5 linked regions of the Mus musculus genome follow. The protein of the gene in region 4 interacts with the protein of the main gene of each other region in a pairwise test. Links are inferred from orthologs where the notes say so. Each region holds a gene or a part of one and is shown on either strand. Other genes may lie near its edges.

Region 1 (4,137 bases), on a different chromosome or scaffold from region 4:
ACTAGACCATGCATTCTTATAGGGCACATGTGTTATGTCAACTGAAATGTTGTAATTTGGTGCCTGACTGTGCCTCTCAGAGACTTGTAGAGGGTGTGTTAGGGTGCTATATCCACTTCCTCCTTGGTTTGAACATCTCCCATCACTCTGAAGGAGGTTGTATGCCACAGATGCTGGTCTTAACTATGGCAGCAGCAGGAGCAGATCCGGTCTTCCTGGAAGGTGTTGAAGGCTGTTCCACTGTGTCAGAACCAGGAGAGCAAGATGCTGTCTCACCCTGTGCTTGGCAGCATGGGAGCCCGGAACTTCAGACCAATCTAGGCCTGAGATTCCCTTGTAAAATATGGGAGTGAACTTCCTCTGCTTGGAGTTGTTTCGAGGAATGAGATGTGAAGAGCTCTGGAGGGGCTAGGACTGTAGCCTAGTTGGCAGAGTGCTGTCACTATGTACAAAGCCTTGAGTTAGATCCCAAGCACTGCATAAGCCAGGCGCCGTGGCACATACCCATTACCCCAGCACTTAAGTGGTGAAGGTAAGTGAGCCAGGAGTTTAACTCCCTTGGCTACATCGGGAGTTTGAGGTCAGCCTGGGCTTACAAACAGGACCTTGTCTCAGAAAGAGCAAAAACAAACACAAGCGACATGCTGGGTAGTGGTGGCGCATGCCTGTAATCCTAGCACTTGGGAAGCAGAGGCAGGCAGAACTCTGAGTTCCAGGCCAGCCTGGTCTACAGAGTATGTTCTAGGACAGCCAGAGCTGTCACACGGAGAAACCCTCTCTTGAAAAACCGAAACAAACAGAAAACGAACGAACAAACAAAAAAGACAAATACAAACAAATGAACAAAAAACACCAAATGTCCAGATTCACAGAAAAATTGTCATGCTGAAATCTGCTAGCCTTTGAGACCTTTAACCCAATGGTAACCATACCTACAAGGGTTGCTCTTCAATTAACTAAGGCCTCACACATCTGGAGGGATTGCTTAGTGGTGAAATGCACAGGTTTGGTTACTAGCACCCACAAGTTGGCTTACTCTGTAACTTCAATTCCAGGGGAATCTGGCACTTTTGTCTGGCCGCCAATGGCCCCAGGCCTGTACACAGTGCATGTACAAACATTCAAGCAAAACATCCATATACATAAATGAAGGTTAACCAAAAAAGATTTTAAGACTGTAAATGAAACACCCTTGATGTACAAAAGAACCACCAGGGAAATGCTTGGGTATGGAAGAATGCAAGGATTTTGTACTTTTCTCACTAAAGAGGCCTATAGGATAACCTGTTGAAGGAACCAGGCTCTTGGGGCAAAGGCCTGGACAACTAGACACATGACTTTAGGCGTAATGACTCATAAACTGGTGTCCTAACTTGGAAGGCAGGGAGGATGAAAGACCTCAGGGCTTTAGTGTGGCATTGACAATTCCAATGGACACTTTATAAGAAAATTCCAAGCATTTCTGGTGCTAAGGTCCATAGGCCCTCCTTTCGGCTCCTACAGGATTGTGTGTGTGTGCGCACAAATTATGACTCCATCAATCAAGCTATCTCGGGCAACTGGGGGCGTTGATATCTGCAAGCAATCGTTACCTAAGCAAAGGCTGACAATGGGACTGATTTCTTGGTCACAACGCCCTGTGAGAACACGCTGCAGTAAACTGCCTCTCCTAGACCAAACCCATCCATCTTAGTGAGCATGCTCAGATCTCGCTCCAGAACCCCTAAAGGATGGGCAACACTTTTGCAGCTTTCAGCCACTCTGGAAAAACAGGAGGGGCTTAAATGCAACCAAGCCAGGACCAGGAGGTGGGACTAAGCAAGGAAAAGCCTCGAACCTGGCGGTCGTGGCTGAACCGTGTGCACGCGCGCACACACTCCAAATCCCCACACTTTGGCTGCCCACAACTCACACAGCATGTAACCCTCCCCTGAACAGCAATCTACCTCTACCCTCCATGCAAACCGCTGCGGCCCTAGAGAAGGAACATCTGGCAAACTCCCGGGCCTCCTGCGCAGCGTGCAACAGGGGCGGGGAAGCTAGGCGGGGCGACTTGAAAGCAAGATGAGTGTGCTTCAGTCTGCTTAGTCCCCAACCATTTTCCGTTTTGGGTGTGTGTGTGTGTGTGTGTGTGTGTGTGTGTGTGTGTGTGTGTGTGTTTTGAGGGATTGGAGATATCAAATCCAGGACTCTTCTGAGCCTTTTCTGAGGCAATGGCTGATGTGCAGGGCATGGCCTTTTCAGATGATGTTACGGGTCCCCAGTTTCTATGCTGAAGCGCAATCCTCAGTCTGCATTCTTTACTATGCCCCCCCCCCCCCCCCCCGCACCGCAGGCTTGCTGCTTTCTCCCCCGGTCACCGCTTGCATTTGCTATGCTCCTCTGCTTTTTCGCCCCCGCCATGTTGTGAGCCCCACCTCCCAACCACAGGGGCTGCAAGCAGGGAGAACATTCTCCTTTCCTTCTGCTCCTTGCAGTGCGCGCCCTGGCGCCCAGGTCGTGGGTAAACTGAAGCATTGGTGCCGGATACTTGGTTATCCCGGAGTAGACTTTGCTGTTTCCAGGGTCACCCCTGCCCAGTTTCCAAGAGCCTTCAGGCTTGAACCTTGGCTCCCTCAACCCTCAGCTCTCACCCGAGGCCAGGGGAGCCCCAGGGCCACCTTAGCAATGCAGTGAGGCAGGTCGGGGAGAGGGGCTCTGGACTAGGGTCTGAGCCTTCGGGTCCTTGCCCGGCTATAGCTATCCGACACTCACCCTGGCGCCGAGAGAGGTCTGTCGGGCGGCTGCCGCGCGTCCATTAGCGGGTGGAGTGTCCGCTTTACTTCCGGGGCGCAGGCTCCGGGCGCCCCCCACCCCCTCGTACCCTCCCTTCTCCGTCTCCTCCTTCTGGGTCCTCTCCCTCCTTGTCCCCTCCCTCCTGATCCTGCGTTCCTCCTGCCCCGCCCCACTCCGCCCCGCCCCGCGTTGCCGGGAACTGGCATCCTCTGCCGCAGCGACCGCCCGCTCAGATCCAACTTTGCTCGGAGGTGGCGTGGCGGCGCCGGGGGGCGTGGGCAGGGAGGGAGAAAGCGGGGTCAGGAGGAGGGACCGCGAGGGGTGGGTCGCCGGTTCGCCAGCTCTCCATCCTTTCTGTGCACCTTGCGGTAGGCAGGGAGAGGCAGCCGCGGCGGCAGCAAGAGGCTAGTGCACACCCAGCTAGGGAGACTTAGGAAACCACGGACGGACGGACGAACAGACAGGACCTTCCCCAGCGCCCCCTGAGCCATGGCCGAGAGAAAGCAATCTGGAAAGGCAGCAGAGGACGAAGAGGTCCCTGCCTTTTTTAAAAACCTGGGCTCCGGCAGTCCCAAGCCGCGGCAGAAATTCTGCGGCATGTTCTGCCCTGTGGAAGGGTCCTCGGAGAACAAGACCATCGACTTCGACTCGCTTTCAGTGGGCCGGGGCTCGGGGCAAGTGGTGGCTCAGCAGCGCGATGTCGCCCACTTGGGCCCCGACCCGCACCGGCAGAGCCGGCGTGCCAGTGGGGAGCCATCTGTTGAATCGAGCCGGAAGGTGGAGATCCGGCGGGCCTCGGGCAAGGAAGCCCTGCAGAACATCTATGATCAGGTTGGTATGGGGGTGGAGGGTGGGATCGGAGCGCGGGGCTGCCCCCTGGCTTGTCGCGGAGGACCGAGCATCCCCGCGTGGCAGCCAGCACCAGCCAGCACGCGGCACCAAGAGCTCTGCCTCCCGCATCTGCACGCGCACCGCGCCCTGCCCACCCCTTCACCGCGCAGGGTGCGGCGAGGCACGGGTTCGCCAGTGGGCGTTTGAGCTCCCACAAAGGCTGCCCTAGCCTCCTTGTCCCTGGGAGGTGGGGAACCCGCGTCAGGGACCAGCTGATCCCCGGGCTGGAGGCGTCGAGTGGCGATTGGGGTGGACCACTGTGCTGTTCTTAAATCCTCCCGGGCGGCATCCGATTGCAGCTGCGGCTCAGAGCCCCACCCTTTTTTGATGCAGCTCAAAGAGAGCAGTGGAAGGCTGCAGTGAAGACTAGAGGATTCCCTTGGGGTCTGTAGGGACAAGGGCTTACATGGCTACTCAGTGTGGCAAGGTCCCCGCCTCTAGTGCGCTCAGCACCATGGTTCTGAGCTAGGA
Region 2 (4,088 bases), on a different chromosome or scaffold from region 4:
TGAAGACTACACACTGGAGTTAAAAATTAAAAAAGGAACTCTAGGCATCTGTCTTAGTAGCTAATCCCTACCTAGGATCCCCCAGTGAGGAGCTATCGGAAGGCATACAGGTGGAGCCCCTGCCTAGAATCCCCCAGTGAAGGGCTGCAGTAGAACTCTTGTCCCTTCTCGGAGACCCCACCACTGAGTTATTTCTGGAAGACGTTAGGTCTGGGAAAGGATCGTTGATTCCCAAGTCACCCAGCCTGGCTGGTGGCTGCACACCTGCCCCCAAACCCCTGCTCAGACCTTGGCACCCCCGATGCTGATGATGCGGTACACATTTCGGGTTGCATCATAGAAATAGGACACGGTAAGTGCGTGCTTGCCGGCGGGGATCCAGTTCCGCTTTGTAGTGGGGTCGATCTGGAATACGTGCGCCCGGGTGCTGAAGATTGGCTGTTCCCTACAGCAGGGACAGAAACTCTGCAGGAGTCTGATGCCACCCAGGGGCAAGGCCAGACCAGAGTGGGTGAGTGCTCACCTGGCTGTGGACATTGGTCAGGTTGGGCTGGATGGCCTCTAAGGGGCACCCAGAGGGGTGACAGGAGTCACTTGTTTGTCCCCTAGGGAAAGAAGAAGATTGTGAGTAAGGCTCCAAGGATACTCAGGCCAAGTGGGTCCTCCAGGTGACTTCACAAAACCAGCGAGGCAGGAAAGGAGCAGCTGCTGGTCAGACACCCACTTCCTCAGTCCCAGCCCAGACTGGCCTTGAAATCACTTTGCAGCCAACAGCAACCTTGAACTCTTGATCCTCTGGCCTCCACCTCCTAAATGCTGGGACGGCAGCTTGTGCCATCATTCTTGGTTCATGTGGTGCTGAGGATGGAGCCCAGAGCATCCTGCATCCCATGCAAGCTCTCTATCAACTGAGCTGTAGGCATAAACAAAAGGCCCTGCTTTTGGGAGAAGCCCCCACAACTGGACTGAGTGATCTCTAGATCTCTAGTGTCACCAGAGAGGTGATACAGTGCCACCAAACTGCAAGGGTAGGTAGGATATGGCTTGGAGAATAGCCTGGTTGTTGGCACGCAGGATTATACTCACTGTCCAGGTTACCCACCACTGGGCAAGTGTCCTCCCACAGGAACTGAACATGAGGTCAAGATCAACCGAGTGGAACATCTCATTCATCCCCTCCCATCCAACAGCCCCCCTCTCCTCCCAGAGGGCCTTGCATCAAAATGTGGGACAAAGCTGGATCCGTGGTGAGGCCCTGTGGTTTTATCTATCTGAAAGCCAAGGCGGTTAGATCATGCATCCCAGGAGTTCAAGGCCTCCCTGGTCATCATGGAGGGATAAACCCATCTCAAGGAGTAAAAGTGGAGTGCTTCCAGGGACCTAACAGGAAAATCAGGACCTCGCTGATCCCACAAATGGACCACTTCGGGGCTGAAGAGATGGTTCAGTGGGTAAGAGCACTGACTGCTCTTCCAGAGGTCCTGAGTTCAATTCCCAGCAACCACATAGTGGCTCATAGCCATCTGTAATGGGATTGGATGCCCTGTTCTGATGTGTCTGAAGACAGCTACAGTGTACTTGTATAAATAAAATAAATAACTCTAGGAAGGAAGGGAGGGAGGGAGGGAGGGAGGGAGGGAGAGAGAGAGAGAGGAGAGAGAGAGAGAGAGAGAGAGAGAGAGAGAGAGAGAGAGAGAGAGAGAGAGAGAGAGAGAGAGAGAGAGAGAGAGAGAGAGAGAGGAGAGAGAGAGAAAGGACCACTTAGCCCAGATAACTCTGTGTCTGAGTCTCCAGGGAGCTTACTTAAAAGGAAAAAATGAAAGCCTGGTATGGTGGCACCAGCACTGGGGAGAATGAGGAGACTTTGAAGCCAACCTGGGCTACAGAGTGGGACCATGTCTCAACGCACAGGCACACACACACACACAAGCACGCATTGCACACAGCGGTTCATCCTAGTCCCCACCATGTGAACAGGGAACAGGACCGGGAGAACGGAGCTCCCCAGCCTCCTATGAACGCTTGCACCTGTCATTCTCCTAAGTCCCCCAAATTTCAACTAAGGAGATTGGAGGAGAAGGAGGGTCCTGCGGGTGCGGGAGGTCAAGACCCGGGGTCTGAGGTCAGGGCCCCTCCAAGCTGTCTTGGGAAGCTGCGAAACCTAAGTTCCCATACAGAGGGAGGGTAGGGGGGTTGTCCAGTCAGAGACGCTAATGGAACTGGCGGAGATTGGGGGAAAGGGGTCCCCGAACCCAGGCCCTTCCGGTCGGACCACTCCTGCCTGGACTTGCCACCATCAGGAAAAGTTACTCACTGAGTAGTCACGCGCCTTGGAGCAGAGGCGCGGGGCGGAGAACCGCGATCGCGCGCGGCGGGGACCCTGCCAGGAGCCCCACGCCGGCTTCCCATTTGGCACCGGTTCCCACTCCCTCCAGGGCAGCTCGTGAGGGCAACTACGGGAGCCGCTGACCCGCAACTTCTAAGTGGCGGAGCCTCGCGATGCGGCGTCCCCAACACCCGGACCTCGGCTGAGGAACCCGGTGAAGACGCGCCCCGCGCCCCAGCCAGCACCTGAGCCGGCCCCCTAGCCGGCACCCCAGGATCCCAACCCCTCAGCCTGCACCCCGCAGCTCCTGGGCCCCGCCTCACAGTCCGCAACTTTGGAAACCGTCTGCGTTTCCTGCGCCCCCGACTCCCTGATTGTGCCTCGGAAGCTGGGGTCCCCCTGTCTGGCTCACCCCGCGTCGTCGTCGCTGCAGCCTCCGGCCCGCGCCCTCCGCGCGCCCCGCGCCGCCCGCGCCTTTGTCTGCGCCGCCTCCGGTCCCATCGCGGCCAGTCCCCGCGCCGCCCCGCCTCTGCCCAGCGCCCCCTGCTGGCCAGCTACGGAGGGCGGGGAAGAGGGAGGGGACCCCGAGAGGGAAGAAGAGGAGGGCGGACATGGAGGGGGGAGTTGGGCGGGGTGAAAGGGCAGAGGAAGGGGAGGGCACCAGGAGGTCAAGAGGAGGAACTTCTGAAGGGGGGACCCAGTGGGAGGCAACTGAAGGAAGTGGGGAGGGCGTGGCTTTTGAAGGAGGGGGAGGGGCCCATAAAGTCTGGGGCTGGGATCAGAGGGATTAAGGGCAGGGGCCTAGGATCAGGCAGAGTACTGGACAGAGGGGAGGGATCCAGGAGGGCAGCGGAGAGAGACAGAAGGTGACTGCGGACAAAGACAGCGGGGTGGGGAGAGGGGTGGAAGAGGAGGGTCTGTCTGGATCGGCCTTGGGGCAGAGCATTGGACTGATGGGCTGAAGGCTGAGAAGACAAAAGTGTGGGTGTTAGATGGGTGGTAGCGGGCCAGGGTGTGAAGACAGAGGCAGAAGTCCTGGAGTGTGATCTGGTGACCCAGAGATAGGGAGAAACACGGAAAATGGGTGGACAACGACCCTTCGCTTTCCTGCCTCCTACCAAGGGTGGCCCTGAGTCTTCATGTGGCTTCTTCGAAAAGAAAAAGTTCCTGGACCCTCAGCAACTGAAGCATGAAGACAGCTTGAGCCCAGCTCCCCAAAACGAAGGTGGGGGTGGGACTGCAAATCAGTGTGTAACGCCCTCGTCAAGCGTCTGTGGTGCCCTGGGCTCCATCCTAATTCCCACGAAAAGAACAAGCAGGCAAATCTCTGTGAATTCTAGGCTAGATTGGTCTATATAGTGAGTTCTAAGCCATCTAGGGCCACATAGTGAGACCCTGACTTTCAAAAATAAATTCTGGGAGTAACTAGGTTATTGTTACAGAGTCTTAGGATCCAAGTGTCCTCTTAGTGTTGTCTTCCAATGAAATGGACAAACTCCCTGCAGCTCTGTAGGCTGAGTCCTGCCTCTGTCCACAGCCACAGCAGCCCGCCGAGGATCCTTCAGGGGATCACCTATCTGCCAGTGGGTCCCTAGCCCTGTGGCAAATCCCTTGCTGCACTTTTCTAGAAATTTCTGCAAGGGTTTCCGTGTTCTGGGGACAAATGGCTGTGTCCGAATCAGAGTCTGTGGTTCTCAGCTTTGCATTTCTTATGTCAGATATATATTTTTTTCTCTTCTCAAGCCCTCTGGTGTCTGCTGGG
Region 3 (4,237 bases), on a different chromosome or scaffold from region 4:
TGACACTCCACTGGCACTATTTTAAGACCTGCAGGTTGGAGCAAGTTGCCCTGTTTTTAGAGGAGGGATTAACCAAACCAATTTTATCTAAGTCAATTTGCGCTGTTCAGATGATATGTTTGTGAAGCAACCAAGCCACTCATTTGCAGCAAGTGCCTCTCAGAAGTGGTCTTGCAAGGTACAACATGCTAAGCAGGAATCCCAGTAGTCATGAAAGTAAATAGGAGAGACAGCTCTTCATGTGCCATAACCCTCTCTCCCTACTCCACACATCACCCACCCTGACTGCATCCTAGCCATGGAGCCATGGAACTGTAAGTAGAGTTTAGCATAGGGCAAATATGAGCCCAAAATACTGGGTCAAGGGCAGGTCCTCACTCAACACAGACAGCAGAGGCTTCTGTACATTAAAGGTGCTTTGAAAAATATTGACTCACTGCTGCTAGGTGCTAATTTTGCTTATATAGCCAGACCTAAATGTATCTATATTACTTTTATTGGTCATTAACTAACTCCCCCCATGTAGACTAAAAAAATGGGTGAGGTTGAATATTCAAATGAGTCTGACTCACATTGTTAGGGTAAAGTGTAATCAATATGATTTATGACTCGACTTAAAATCATCACCATTACTTTCTATGCCTAATTGTATATATGTTTCCATTCAGTTGCATATACATTCATGAAACAAATTGACTTAAGATCTAAATTACAATGATAATTTGAATCTCAAGGGAACTAATAATGGCAAATTAGGGTTCCTGTAAATTAGTGTTCCCATTTATACCCAGTCAATCCAGTAACCCAATAAAGGATAAATGAAGTGCTTTCATTGAAGAGTATAATGCTGAGGTTTATAGAATCCTTTTATCTTCAAAGGACCAAGCCAATACTCACAATACCCAGTACACAATATTATGCCTTTTATGCAAGTGAAGCAACTGTGAAAGAGAGGTCATACAAATGTCTAAAGGCCTTAAAGCCAATGCAACGTCACATCTGGAATGAACTCTCTGATCTTCTTGGCTTCCAGGCTTGTGTTTCAACCACATGAAACGAGTTTTGTAAGGAACAATCACGAGAAATCTAATTCATATTATGAGTCTGTGTTAAGCTAATTGATTGAGCAGGAATATATAAAAATAGCAAAGATTGATTCTCCCTTGGGGCAGTGATGAGCAGAGAGGAGGAGGTTAAAAAAAGGTGGGGATGCTGGGATAGGAATCTAGGGTACAGCAAAAGCTCCCCAAGCAGAAGTGAGCAAGAATGTAAACTCTCCATTTAGCAACTCCATCTTCTATTGGAATAGTGTCAGAGATCTGATTCGATTTCAGAGAGGAAATGGAATGGGATTAAAGTCAACTCTTGTGGTCCAATTCGAGAATCAGATTAATTAATCCCCACACAATAGTTGTGTACTATTACAGTTTCCAATGTCTTGCTTCATAAATACTCCTCCTTAGAGACAGACACACAACTAATGCCATTCAGCAGCCCCACCCTCCAAAATCTTCAAAAAAAATCAAAGTGATTGAAAAGCAAGAAGCCGCATTGCACAGGTTGACAGAGAAAAGCTGAGAGTGCAGGAACTCTGGTGGGAGATGTGGGGGCTTGAATAGAGACAGTACCTAAGGAGTGTGGAAGAGTGGGGAAAGTGAAGAGTCCAACAATCCCTGGATCCTAATTTCCTCCTCTAAATCGAAATGCCTCCTAAATAAATAAATACTATGCTGCACGTGAAGTGCGAAACAACCCAAGCCAGCTCATAACCAGTAATGTTCCAGTAATTTTTATGAGCCCGGAATGGAAAAGGCTCCCCTGTCCCTGCTTCAGTCGCAGTGTGTCCTATGGACACACTCAAGTTTTTCCCTCTCCACCCCCCCCCCCCCCACGGGGCTGCTTTCACAGCTAGGCCAGAAATAAAGAACCACCCAGACAGAGACCTGAAGATCGTTTCCCCAGCAGGGAGGAAAAGGGGAGGGAGAATTAAGTTTCTCCCGGGGTTCCCGCTCGCAGGGTGTCCACAGAATCTCAGGCTGCTGCGCCAGCACCACTGAGCCAACCGCCGACCTCGGGGCGCCGCCCGGGCCGAGGACGCCGTGGATTTCGGGAGCGTGGGAAGGCGGCTGCGCCCTTTCCCAGACTTGCGCCTAGGCGCCACGAGAGCTGAGCCGCTCCACTGCTTTCTCCCTGCTCGGCCTGGCCAAGCGGGAGGCCTCGGGCCGGTCCCCAGCCTGGGATCTAGGAGTGCAAACTCCTTCCCAGGAGGGCAGCGGCAGGAGCTCGGGTCACAACAGTGTGACAGACAACCGGGGCCCTGCCATTGCCGCCAGGACCCCGTCTCCCCCCTCTTGCCGCCCCCCCCCCCAAGCCCAAGTGTCCTCGGCCAGTTCCAGCCCCGGCGGCACCTGAAGAGCAGCAGGAGCCAGCCAGGGCCAAGCCCGGCGCGGGCGGCGACACTAGCCACCCCACCACCACCACCATCCCCCCGGGCCTCGGCGAGGGGACGCGTTTTACCCATATTGTTCCCGGGTGCCAGCCATCTCCTACGCGCGCCGGGGAGCGCCGGGCGCTCGCCGGCCTCCGCAGCAAGCTGGCTCGGGCTCCCGTGCAAGCTCCCGGGCCGCTGTCGCTGCTGCCGCCGCCGCCGCCGCCACCACCACTCTAGGCCGCCGCCCGCCTTCGCCGCTGCGGCCGCCGCCGCCGCCGCGCAACAGCCGGGATCCGCCAGCCCGCGCGCCCCACGGGGGACAGCACGGAGACCGCGACGTTCCCGCGTCTAGGTCTCCCGGGCTAAACTTAAAGAGTTTTCGCCTCTCGGTCCAGAGGCAGCACCATGACACCACCGCAGCACCACACTGTCATTTCCGCCGCAGCAGAGGGAAAAAAAAGGCAATCCCTTCGAAAGGAGGGTGGAGTGGGGGCAAGCAGAGCCGAGGCTGACACCCTACGGGAGCACGGGGAGGGGCCGGGCAGAAGGGGCGCTGGGCCACCTTCCTAGGCTCACCTTCCGCCGCCCCCGCCACTCCCAACTCCCCGTGCCCCTCCTCTGGAGGCGCGCTTACATGTTTTCTCCCCTGGCAGGAGTGACCAGAGAAACCCGAGCAAGCAAAGGCAGTGGGTGGGTGGGGTTCAGATTACTACTGTACCTACCAGCTGATTCCAGCAGCCTTTTCTCCAGCACCCTGTCATCTTGATGGAAGACACAGGGAGAAGGGGCCTGAGCAGGCGCGCACGAGCGTGTGTGTGTGTGTGTGTGTGTGTGTGTGTGTGTGTGTGTGTGTGTTTGCGCGTCCACGACCGGGTGGTGTGTGTGAAGCGCAGAAGGAAGACTGTGGCCAAACTCTTCACCCACCTACCTCCCTTCTACATCCACAAACCCCCAGATGAGAGCAAGGAGAAGGCTGTTGCACTCGCCAATGAAAAGAGTGTGCCTGGATCCTCCTCACAGGTCCTACTGGTGAAGCTGTTGTATGCAAAGTTAACTAGAGAGTAAAACAAAAATAGTGGAGGAGACAGAGAAGGGCAGACAATTGAAGGAAACCCAACCCCTTTTTCTTTTGACAAAGGGAGAATGGCAATGTTCTATTGGACTTGGGCACAAGTTGTTCAGGTGGATTAAAGCCACTAAAAGTGTATGGGGTAAGGTTTCTTTTGCACCTTCAGATCCTTGACCAATACAAAAGGGTCACTGCCAAGAGGACAATGAGGCAGATGCTAGCCATCCAGAATACAATGTCCCTAATAAGATCCATTTGGAAGCCAGGAGCCTCCCATTGGTCTGGATACAGCCTGTCTTTTAACCTATCACTGGCTCAAAGACTACCACCTCCCCCCAACACACACACACACACACACACACACACACACACACACACACTTAAAAGGTAGATGAGAGAAGGAAGCCACCTCAGAGGATATTCTTTCTAGCTCCACTCAAAATGAGGAAGGAATAAAGCAATCCGAAACAGCCCCTCTCACATGGGCCTCCCATTACTGTGCTTGGGAACAAATCCAGAAAAAAAAATGAAGGTAGATGGGTGTGTCTTATCAGGGAACCAATAGCAGTCAGCCAACAGCACTGTTAAACAAACCTGCTAGAGAACACTGGAGTGGAAATGAAGGGAAAAACCCAACCACATTACCTAAAAGGAAGTACAGCACCAAGAGATGTAAAAGTTAATGTGTCATATCCAAAGCACAGACAACAAGAGCAAAACCAAACAAATGAGACTAC
Region 4 (4,020 bases):
CATTATGAAGAAAACTAGAATGGTTTAGGTCATCCTTCAACAGAAGAGTGCCCAGCTCTTAGGCATGAAGGGCTTGAGACAATATACATGTCAGCAAGTATCACTTTAAGGGACTTTCAAAATCATTTTAATAGCACTATAAAAATTAAGAAATAGAAATACTTAGTTTCATACTCAAACCCACTAAGGTATTTACAATAGTACAAATTTTAATATTCTGGGGACTGGAGAGATAGATAGCTTAGCTGTTCTTCCAGAGAACCCAGTTTCAATTCCAGTATCCACATAGAACCTCACAATCTTCTGTTACCCCAATACTGGGGGAATCTAATGTCTTCTTCTGGCTTCTGAGGAAACCAGGCACACTCTAGTGCACAGACATACAGACAGGCAAAACATGCACACAAATAAAATAAACAATTAAAAATTACAATATTCTGGGAGATGACTTCCTATATCTTATTTAGGTATTTCTTTTTTTAGAAAAATAGTCTATTAAGAATCAAAATGGATGTTTCATTTTTCATCATCATACATACCATAACAGTCTGGCATCAGCAGTTAGACCCGCAATTGAGATACCAATATGGTTGTCAACATGGAGAATTTTCTTCTGGTGAGCGGCAAGCTCTGACTGTGCTCTCTAAATAGACACAATATGGTATTTTAGTTCAGAGGTTCACTGTTTATCAGTGGAATCTACATTTGATAGTTCTGTTCCTGAGGAAGAAGACAGGGTTATATTTCACTCACCTTCAGTGCAACCAGCACTGCGTGCGTTTTTGATTTTAGACCAACTGTTGCTGAACCTTGCTTAACAGCTTCCATTGCATATTCAATTTGATGAATCCTGCCCTAAAGACAAACATTTTTTTTCACGTTTTAAAACCAATAAACGAATTTTAATTCTAACTTGAAGGTCACAGCCTATAATCTCACAAGCTTTGTTTCCTTTTCTTTTAAGGAGTTCTACTAAGCTGCTCAAATTGCCCACTGACTCCATGATCCTATGGCTTCAGCCAACGGCAGACCAATGAAGATTAAGATGTGTACCACCAAGCCCAGTTTACAATCTCATAGGTCCCTGAACCTACTTCAGCCATGAAAAGTCACTTCATTGATATGGCATAAAACATTTTTTACCTGAGGGCTCCAAACAGTGACATCATTGTCATACTGGTTTCGAAACTGAAAGTGGAAGAAAGATTAAATGAGAACATTACAAAGTTCAAATTTTAACATTAAGACATGTGTTTCAATTGTTACAGCCTCTCTCCTAGTGCAGCTTTCTTGAGACATTATTACAGCACTCAGTTTGCAATGCAATTCTACCTTAACAAGGTCCCTTAACCATGCTGGAGCTGTTGGGATGAATGGACTAGGTTCTCCCTAACTCTATATCCTGCCATTCTCCACAGCACTCCCCTTGGGTAGTCAAGTGCTAAAGAATGCACACACCAACTTTCCCTCCACTTTGCTCATACTGTTCTCTACACAGGGCTCTAATAATCTGGCAAAGGCCTTTTCTGTACATTGACTCAAATGTCTATCTTTGAAGGTTTCTTCTTTTCTCCGAAAATTCTCAGCACAATATTCCAACAGAGCTTGAAGGTTTCTTCTTTTCTCTGAAAATTCTCAGCACAATATTCCAGCAGAGCTTTGAGATACAGGTTTCATGAAGCCCAGTCTGGCTTTTTCCTATATACCTGGGAAAATGATCTTGAAGTCCTGTCTCAACCTACCAAGTGCTCAGATTACAGGTGTCTGCTATCATGACCAACTATACATATTTTTTTCTTCTTTTCTTCCTTCCTTTTTTTTTTTTTTTTTTTTTTTTTTGGTGTCGGTCTCTACACTATGGATGTCCTGGAACTTTGACTTAGGCTTGCCTCAAACTCACAGAATTCTGCCTCTCTGCTTCCTAAGTGCTGGGATTAAACTCGTGTACCATAACACCTTCCAACATACCTTTTTTATCTTTATAGTATGAATAAAGTTATGTTTGGTTTAACTTTGAGCTCTCTACCTGCACCCTGTCACTGGATGAATTAACATATACACAAATCCTCAGTAAAGAGGTGGGCACAAATTGCTACCGTGGCAGACCCACTACAGCCATAATGTCATTACTAAAGCAAGTGTATCGGCTCTTAGGAGAATACTCATAATGGCAAAAAAGGCAAGAGTTCGCATGGCAGACTCCACAGAAGCAGCTCAGGGCCCTGTGCTGTAAACCTGAATCCATTACTTCCCCTTTTAGAACAAAGTGACTGTATGGAGTCTTTCCCGACGGCATTCTAATGAGACAGATTAAGACAGACCCACAAGGAAGATGAATTTGGTCTAAAGACCTGACTGCAGGCTCAGGTCTGCGCAGGCGATGCCAGGTGCACCCCTCCATTCCTATAGCCTTCCTCCTATGCAGATGACAAAGGACCATAGGGCATCTTGAAATCGGCCACCTAAGTAAATTGAGAGGGGAGGGCCTCTGGCTGGGCGAGGGAGAGCGCCTGGACCCCACGTAAGGTGGAGAAGCTGAGCGAAAGGCCGCCCAGGTTACTGATCGTTTCCCGCCGGCCAGGCCGCAGATGCTGAATCACTGTAGGAGACTGTCCGTGAGGTAAGCTCCCTCTCCCACCGCCCCACGCCCCAGGGAACAGAGGCCGATCCCCGACCACGTCAGTGTACCTCAGCCCCAAACCCTTCGAGGACTCGGGGCTCAACACACCATAGCTCCGGCGCAGCGACAACCTGACCCAGCAGCGGACACAGGAACACGGCCCCAACTACGGTTCGGTGATCGTCAAAGAAGCCTGCGGAGTCTTGACGGCGGCGACGCAGGAAGTGCAATCTATCCCAGAGCCACGGATCGGCGTCTAACGCTGCCCCGCCCTCCAGCCTTAAGTGGGCGGGGCCTGCGAAAGCTGAGAACGTGGGATTGGCAGGAAGCTCCGGGGTGGGAAAGCCAATGCGCAGAGAAAGCGGGGGGCGTGGCTTCACGTCACGCCCAGAGTTTCCTTGCTTTTTTTTTTTTTAATCCCCAAGTGGATTGCAGATTCCCGCCAACTCTCGGTCCTCTCAGTTGAACGTCGCCACCTAGCTCGGGATGGTGCGGTGGTCCCTCATAGATCTGTCACAGTGCACAGAGAGGTTTGGGAAACAGCGTGTCTGAAAGAGGCTGCAGAAAAAAAAAAAAAAAAAACAAGTGTGTGTGTGTGTGTGTGTGTGTGTGTGTGTGTTCATATTCCTGGCCTGAGATGCTTGAGTACTTGGAGAGCCCATCCTTAAAGGCTCCATGGTCTCGCATGATCGTGATACTTATGATCATTAGTTGCTATTGTAGGACCTGGTTTCTGTCCTGGCACTTGATCTTCTGCTGTCCACAACCAAATACCGTATCTGGTAGATTAGGCCACTAGGGGGAAGGTGCGAGTTTTCTTACGAGTTTTAAAAGAGTATGTTTTGGTTTAATCCCCAAATGAAATCAAGACTGCTAATTCTGTTGAATAACGTGTACCCAGAGTCAGGTAAGGATCTTTAAGGATCTGAACTTTGATGGCGGAGTAACACATCATTTAAATGTCTATGTTCACAGTAATTAGTATCACATTCTAAATATTTTCATGTCTGTATATATATGTACATTTTTTGTTTTTACATTTGTTTTGTGTGTGTGTCTGTGTCCCTGCATACCCTTTTTTGGGAGTCTGAAGACAACTTGAAGTTGGTGGTTCTCTCCTTGCGCCACGTGGATTCTGGGATTGAACTCAGGTTCACAGCTTGGCAGCTAATATAGCAATCCTCTGAACCATCATGCTTTTTGCTTTTCTTTTTCTCATCTCTCTCTGGGTTTGCACCCTCCCTCCCTCGTTTATATGCTCTCAACAGTTAATTAGATTGCTTTGTTCTTTAAATTCACCAACACTGGCTCTTGTTATTTTTAAAAATTTCTGACTTTAAATTGATAGATAGTGCTGTTTTGTTTTCGCAGCACCAGCACGGTGCCTAGCACATATTAGG
Region 5 (4,245 bases), on a different chromosome or scaffold from region 4:
CTACAAAACCACACAATAAACAGCCAGTGCTCCTCCCAGGGCCTCCCAAAGTAAGTCCAGGTGAGGGACCAGAAGGCCAAGATTCCCAGCCTCTTTGTATAGCCAGCATGGAAAGGGCTGCAGTAGTTTCAGCCAGCATTCAGGTCTCTAGAAAATTGTTAAACCTAACAGTTTTCTATTCCAGCCATCCTCCTGACACAGTTCTTATCTCCCGTTCACAAACGACCATCCCTGCTGCTCCCTCTAATTTGGCAGCAGCTATTCATTATAAAGCCGTGTGTGTGTGTGTGTGTGTGTGTGTGTGTGTGTGTGTGTGTGTCTGTGTGTCTGTGTGTGTGTGTCTGTGTGTGTGTCTGTGTGTGTGTGTCTGTGTGTGTGTGTGTGTTTGTGTGTGTGTGTGTGTGTCTGTGTGTGTGTGTGTGTGTGTGTGTGTGTCTGTGTGTCTGTGTGTCTGTGTGTGTGTGTCTGTGTGTGTGTCTGTGTGTGTGTGTCTGTGTGTGTGTGTGTTTGTGTGTGTGTGTGTGTGTCTGTGTGTGTGTGTCTGTGTGTGTGTGTGTCTGTGTGTGTGTGTGTGTTTGTGTGTGTCTGTGTGTGTGTGTGTGTGTCTGTGTGTGTGTGTGTGTGTGTCTGTGTGTGTGTGTCTGTGTGTGTGTGTGTGTTTGTGTGTGTCTGTGTGTGTGTGTGTCTGTGTGTGTGTGTGTCTGTGTGTGTGTGTGTCTGTGTGTGTGTGTGTCTGTGTGTGTGTGTGTGTGTGTGTTGTGTGCATCCCACATGAGCCTAGGTTTTTATACATTCTCCCTCACGATTTCAGCTCTGACAGCCTAGTTCCATGTCAATTATGTAATAGCCAAAGCAGGGAGTTTAACCGAGTACCAAAAGCACCGTCGTGGCTCTTACATAAGCTCCCATAAAGCCTCTGTAAGCCCGCCCCAAGCTGTGGAAATGTGGACTTATAAAAGATGCCAGCTTTCCCTCTGTCCTTAAAATTACCAAAAAGGCTTTTGTGCACCTGATTGACTGATTGCACTCCTATATAGTATATGAAAACATCCATTCAGTGAGAAAAATAATCCTTGGTGAAACAATTTTTTAAAAAAAAAATCATGCAAACAAAAAGAAGGCACTCCCTCTCCCCAAAACTACTGAACTTTCAGGGTTTCCTCTGCACAATGCACTATACCCCAACTAAGACTCCCATGGGTACCCTCTGTGGTACTAAGGACCCCCGGTACACACAGCTTTTCTTTGCAAGGAAAACAAGCAGGAAAATCACTTAGATGAAAAAGACCCGGGCTAAAATCTTTAGCTTCTCTCCAGTCAAACACAAGTTTCTCTCCCTATATGTCACACGCCTGGCTGGGGTACCTCGAACCCACCGAGCCCCACCTTATGCTGCTGGAGACTAAACGAAGCACGAAACGATGCCCACCAACAGTCACAACCCTGACTCCACATGAGCCACACACATAACAAATGCCATCACCAGAAACCAGTAAGAACAAGATGCGTATCTGATGTTTTCCACTCTCATCTTTGTACCTGAAAAATTACGGTACGTGTGAGCAGAGATCTTTAATAACTGTCAACACACGATTAGCTATGTCCACGTGACAGCAAAATACAACTACCTAACAACTTAAAAGCCAAAACGGCTATGTGACAGGGATCTATTTCTTTAAGTCACTTCCCACCTATTTATTGTCAGAGACGTCCCACTGGTTTTCATAACAGACTTAAAAAAAAAAAAAAAGCCTGTTTTGTGTCTTAACGCTTGAGAGTCTACGGTATGAATTTTTCTTTTGAAAGGACCTCCTGTCGCCTTTAAATGATACCAAAACCATCTCATGCTTATCCTGAAGGAAAGTTTTGAGCTAAGACAGAAATTATGGCTCTGACTTCCTGCGCTCTTACGTTCTCTGGTAACCGCTCCTAACTTTACCAACCAGCAAATATTCCTGTGAAGCACTTACATAACAAAAGAGTGCAGGCGCCTCTGGCACGCCGCCAAGCGTACTTCTCTGGGTGTTTGTATTTAAAATAGAACGGTAGTAACATCACTTGCAAGCCTTTCCCTGCACAGACTCAGAATGAAGGGGGTTGAAAAATGGATGGAGCAAGCCTTACCATTCTAGGGCTCCAAGGAAATAACACATCGGTGCTAAATTAAGACGAAGACACGGACCGAATTATCCCGAGCTGGGGGTGGAGAGGGGTGGGAGCTCGCTTAGGCTAACCCGCTGTCGCCTCTGAAACACCGTGCTCAACCTGACATCCCCGGAAGGTGCGAGTGGGTTGCAGCCTCTCTCCGGCGGAGCAGAAGATGTGGGCAGCGGGGAGCGGGCTCTCTGATGCCAGAGAAGCCAGCAAAAGGCACCGCCTCCGCCCCGCTCTGCACCTGTCTCCAGCCGGATCGGGACGCGCGGACAGCAGTCGCTCACCTGGGTCTGGAGGAGCCAAGAAGGATGTGCAGAGAGACCAGAGCAGCCTCCGGGAGCATCCCGGGCCGGGCTACCTCCGCACGCAGCTCCTTCGCAGCTGGAGTTTGCAACGCGCCCACGCGTCCAGACTCCTGACCCACCCGGGTCTTCTGCAACTTGACAGAGCGCGGGCTGAGGTGGCGCAGGTGGCGAGCTTAGGGCACCGGGGTACCTGGGGCCGTGGCCGCAGCCAGCCCTCCGCCCGCGCACTTCACCACTGGGCACCGCCCAAGCCGCCGGGCTCTGATCACAGGGATGGCCCGGGCTGAGGACGCCTCGCCGGACAAAGACGCCGCTCCCGCCCACCCTCCAGTGAGGTGCCGTCCGCGGTGACAGAAGCCGGGCTGCAGCGGCCCGAGGCGCGCACCCCCTCCCGGCCGCCCGGAGATGCTCGCGAGCCCCGGCGCCTCCTCTCGTCCGGAGCCCCGTGGGGGGAGCCGAGCGCCCTCTGCTGGCCCGACACGACCCGGCAGCTCACGGGACCACAGTGGTCCGGAGCATCCAGCCTCAGACCCCAGAGAAAGGAGAAGCAGCCTGAGGTCGCTGACCTAGACTCCTGACTCCCACGAGTGGGATGTGCTGTGGTCCAATCGGAAGAGAGAGCCTCTTTTAATTGCGTGCAGCAGGAAGAATTGGGGTCCAGCGGGTGAACTCGCAAGGGATGTAGCGGGGCTGATGGACAGGAGACTAAAGAAGTCTCTGTAAGGGTTTTGTGTGTGATTGTGTGCGGGTTTGGCGGGGGTGGGGGTGGGGGAGTTGGGGTGTTTGAGGCAGGATCTCACTTGAGACTCACAGATATCCTCTTGCCTCTGCCTCCAAATCTAGGGGTAATGCATAGCCGGCTACCCACTTGAAAGACTCTTGTCTCAACGCAAGCTTGTCTGCTTCGTAGTTCACAACGTTCCTCAGAAGTAAACATGAACGCAGGACTTCTCAGTAGCCCTTCCAGGTCGCCTGAAAGCAGCGCACCTGGGAAGCCTGAAGACAGCCGGGGGGCTTCTCCAGCCTCTGGCTCACAAGATTTGGGACAGACTGACAGAGAAGACAATGAGATGCTGGCTTACTGATGTGCTTGCTCGCTTTCTCTTGGGGGTCGGGAGTGTGGGGAAAATGGGCTCCCTCCCCCACCCCAGCATTGCTGTGCCGAGCAACATTTTATACCAGCTGAATTTTTGTACTAACTGGTCTATATTGTGAAGGGAAATCATGAAAGAGCACTTTTCACACGGCTGTCTTTTTACATTATTCTATGTGGCCTCCCATTTCTTCTGGAGGAATCTAGGGCACGTTTTATCGCTTTTCCTGTCACCTTCGGGTGTTAACAAGCGGTCTGACTGGCTGTTATTACAAAGTCCAGTCCAATCTAAATCAAACTTTAAGCTCATTTCATTTAAGCCTTCGCCCCTCCCTTCCCCTAACTCACAAACCCCAGCCTGACTTAAACCTAGAAAGATAGTAAAGCCTCCTTTGTGCCATTCACTTTCCTATTTGGGTGCTCTGTGAAGCCCATGCCTCCCAGGTGCAAGGAATGAGGTCCTGGCGCTACAGCTCCTTCCTCGGGCCACTCCCACTCCTCCAGGGACTCATCCCACCCCCACCCCCATCCCACAGGCAGACCTGACCATCTTCCACCACATCGGCTGACAGTGTTCATTAAACTCTCTACAGAAGCTCTGGTTAGCTTCTTCCTTGAGCCTCACACTCCAGATGACAGGCACCAGCTTCTTCAACACATTTCTTCTCAGGCACACAGTGAGTGAGCCCTTCC

Evidence for each region.
Region 1: the proteins of Psma1 (region 4) and Pnma2 interact in binary tests that used the Homo sapiens proteins (3 or more experiments, as listed by UniProt). The two-hybrid records come from large-scale screens. The link is inferred for Mus musculus from reciprocal best matches to the Homo sapiens genes PSMA1 and PNMA2.
Region 2: the proteins of Psma1 (region 4) and Homer3 interact in binary tests that used the Homo sapiens proteins (3 or more experiments, as listed by UniProt). The two-hybrid records come from large-scale screens. The link is inferred for Mus musculus from reciprocal best matches to the Homo sapiens genes PSMA1 and HOMER3.
Region 3: the proteins of Psma1 (region 4) and Mid2 interact in binary tests that used the Homo sapiens proteins (3 or more experiments, as listed by UniProt). The two-hybrid records come from large-scale screens. The link is inferred for Mus musculus from reciprocal best matches to the Homo sapiens genes PSMA1 and MID2.
Region 5: the proteins of Psma1 (region 4) and Mtus2 interact in binary tests that used the Homo sapiens proteins (3 or more experiments, as listed by UniProt). The two-hybrid records come from large-scale screens. The link is inferred for Mus musculus from reciprocal best matches to the Homo sapiens genes PSMA1 and MTUS2.

The regions. Positions count from the first base shown.
Region 1 is NC_000080.6:66,909,911-66,914,047, reverse strand, and holds the start of Pnma2 (paraneoplastic antigen Ma2 homolog), read right to left. Parts: upstream 2,841-4,137; 5' UTR 2,755-2,840; intron 1-2,754. Other genes in the region: Dpysl2 (dihydropyrimidinase-related protein 2), read left to right, coding at 3,265-3,606.
Region 2 is NC_000074.6:70,281,751-70,285,838, reverse strand, and holds the start of Homer3 (homer protein homolog 3), read right to left. Parts: upstream 2,841-4,088; 5' UTR 2,828-2,840; coding exon of another isoform or gene 2,739-2,827; exon of another isoform or gene 2,315-2,738; intron 606-2,314; coding exon of another isoform or gene 538-605; coding exon 524-537; intron 446-523; coding exon 289-445; intron 1-288. UniProt on the Homo sapiens protein: Postsynaptic density scaffolding protein. Binds and cross-links cytoplasmic regions of GRM1, GRM5, ITPR1, DNM3, RYR1, RYR2, SHANK1 and SHANK3.
Region 3 is NC_000086.7:140,663,559-140,667,795, reverse strand, and holds the start of Mid2 (probable E3 ubiquitin-protein ligase MID2), read right to left. Parts: upstream 2,841-4,237; 5' UTR 2,522-2,840; coding exon 2,518-2,521; intron 1-2,517. UniProt on the Homo sapiens protein: E3 ubiquitin ligase that plays a role in microtubule stabilization. Mediates the 'Lys-48'-linked polyubiquitination of LRRK2 to drive its localization to microtubules and its proteasomal degradation in neurons.
Region 4 is NC_000073.6:114,273,273-114,277,292, forward strand, and holds the start of Psma1 (proteasome subunit alpha type-1), read right to left. Parts: upstream 2,845-4,020; 5' UTR 2,732-2,844; coding exon 2,729-2,731; intron 1,189-2,728; coding exon 1,144-1,188; intron 856-1,143; coding exon 754-855; intron 644-753; coding exon 540-643; intron 1-539. UniProt on the Homo sapiens protein: Component of the 20S core proteasome complex involved in the proteolytic degradation of most intracellular proteins. This complex plays numerous essential roles within the cell by associating with different regulatory particles.
Region 5 is NC_000071.6:147,955,915-147,960,159, reverse strand, and holds the start of Mtus2 (microtubule-associated tumor suppressor candidate 2 homolog), read right to left. Parts: upstream 2,841-4,245; 5' UTR 2,439-2,840; exon of another isoform or gene 2,125-2,438; intron 1-2,124. UniProt on the Homo sapiens protein: Binds microtubules. Together with MAPRE1 may target the microtubule depolymerase KIF2C to the plus-end of microtubules. May regulate the dynamics of microtubules at their growing distal tip.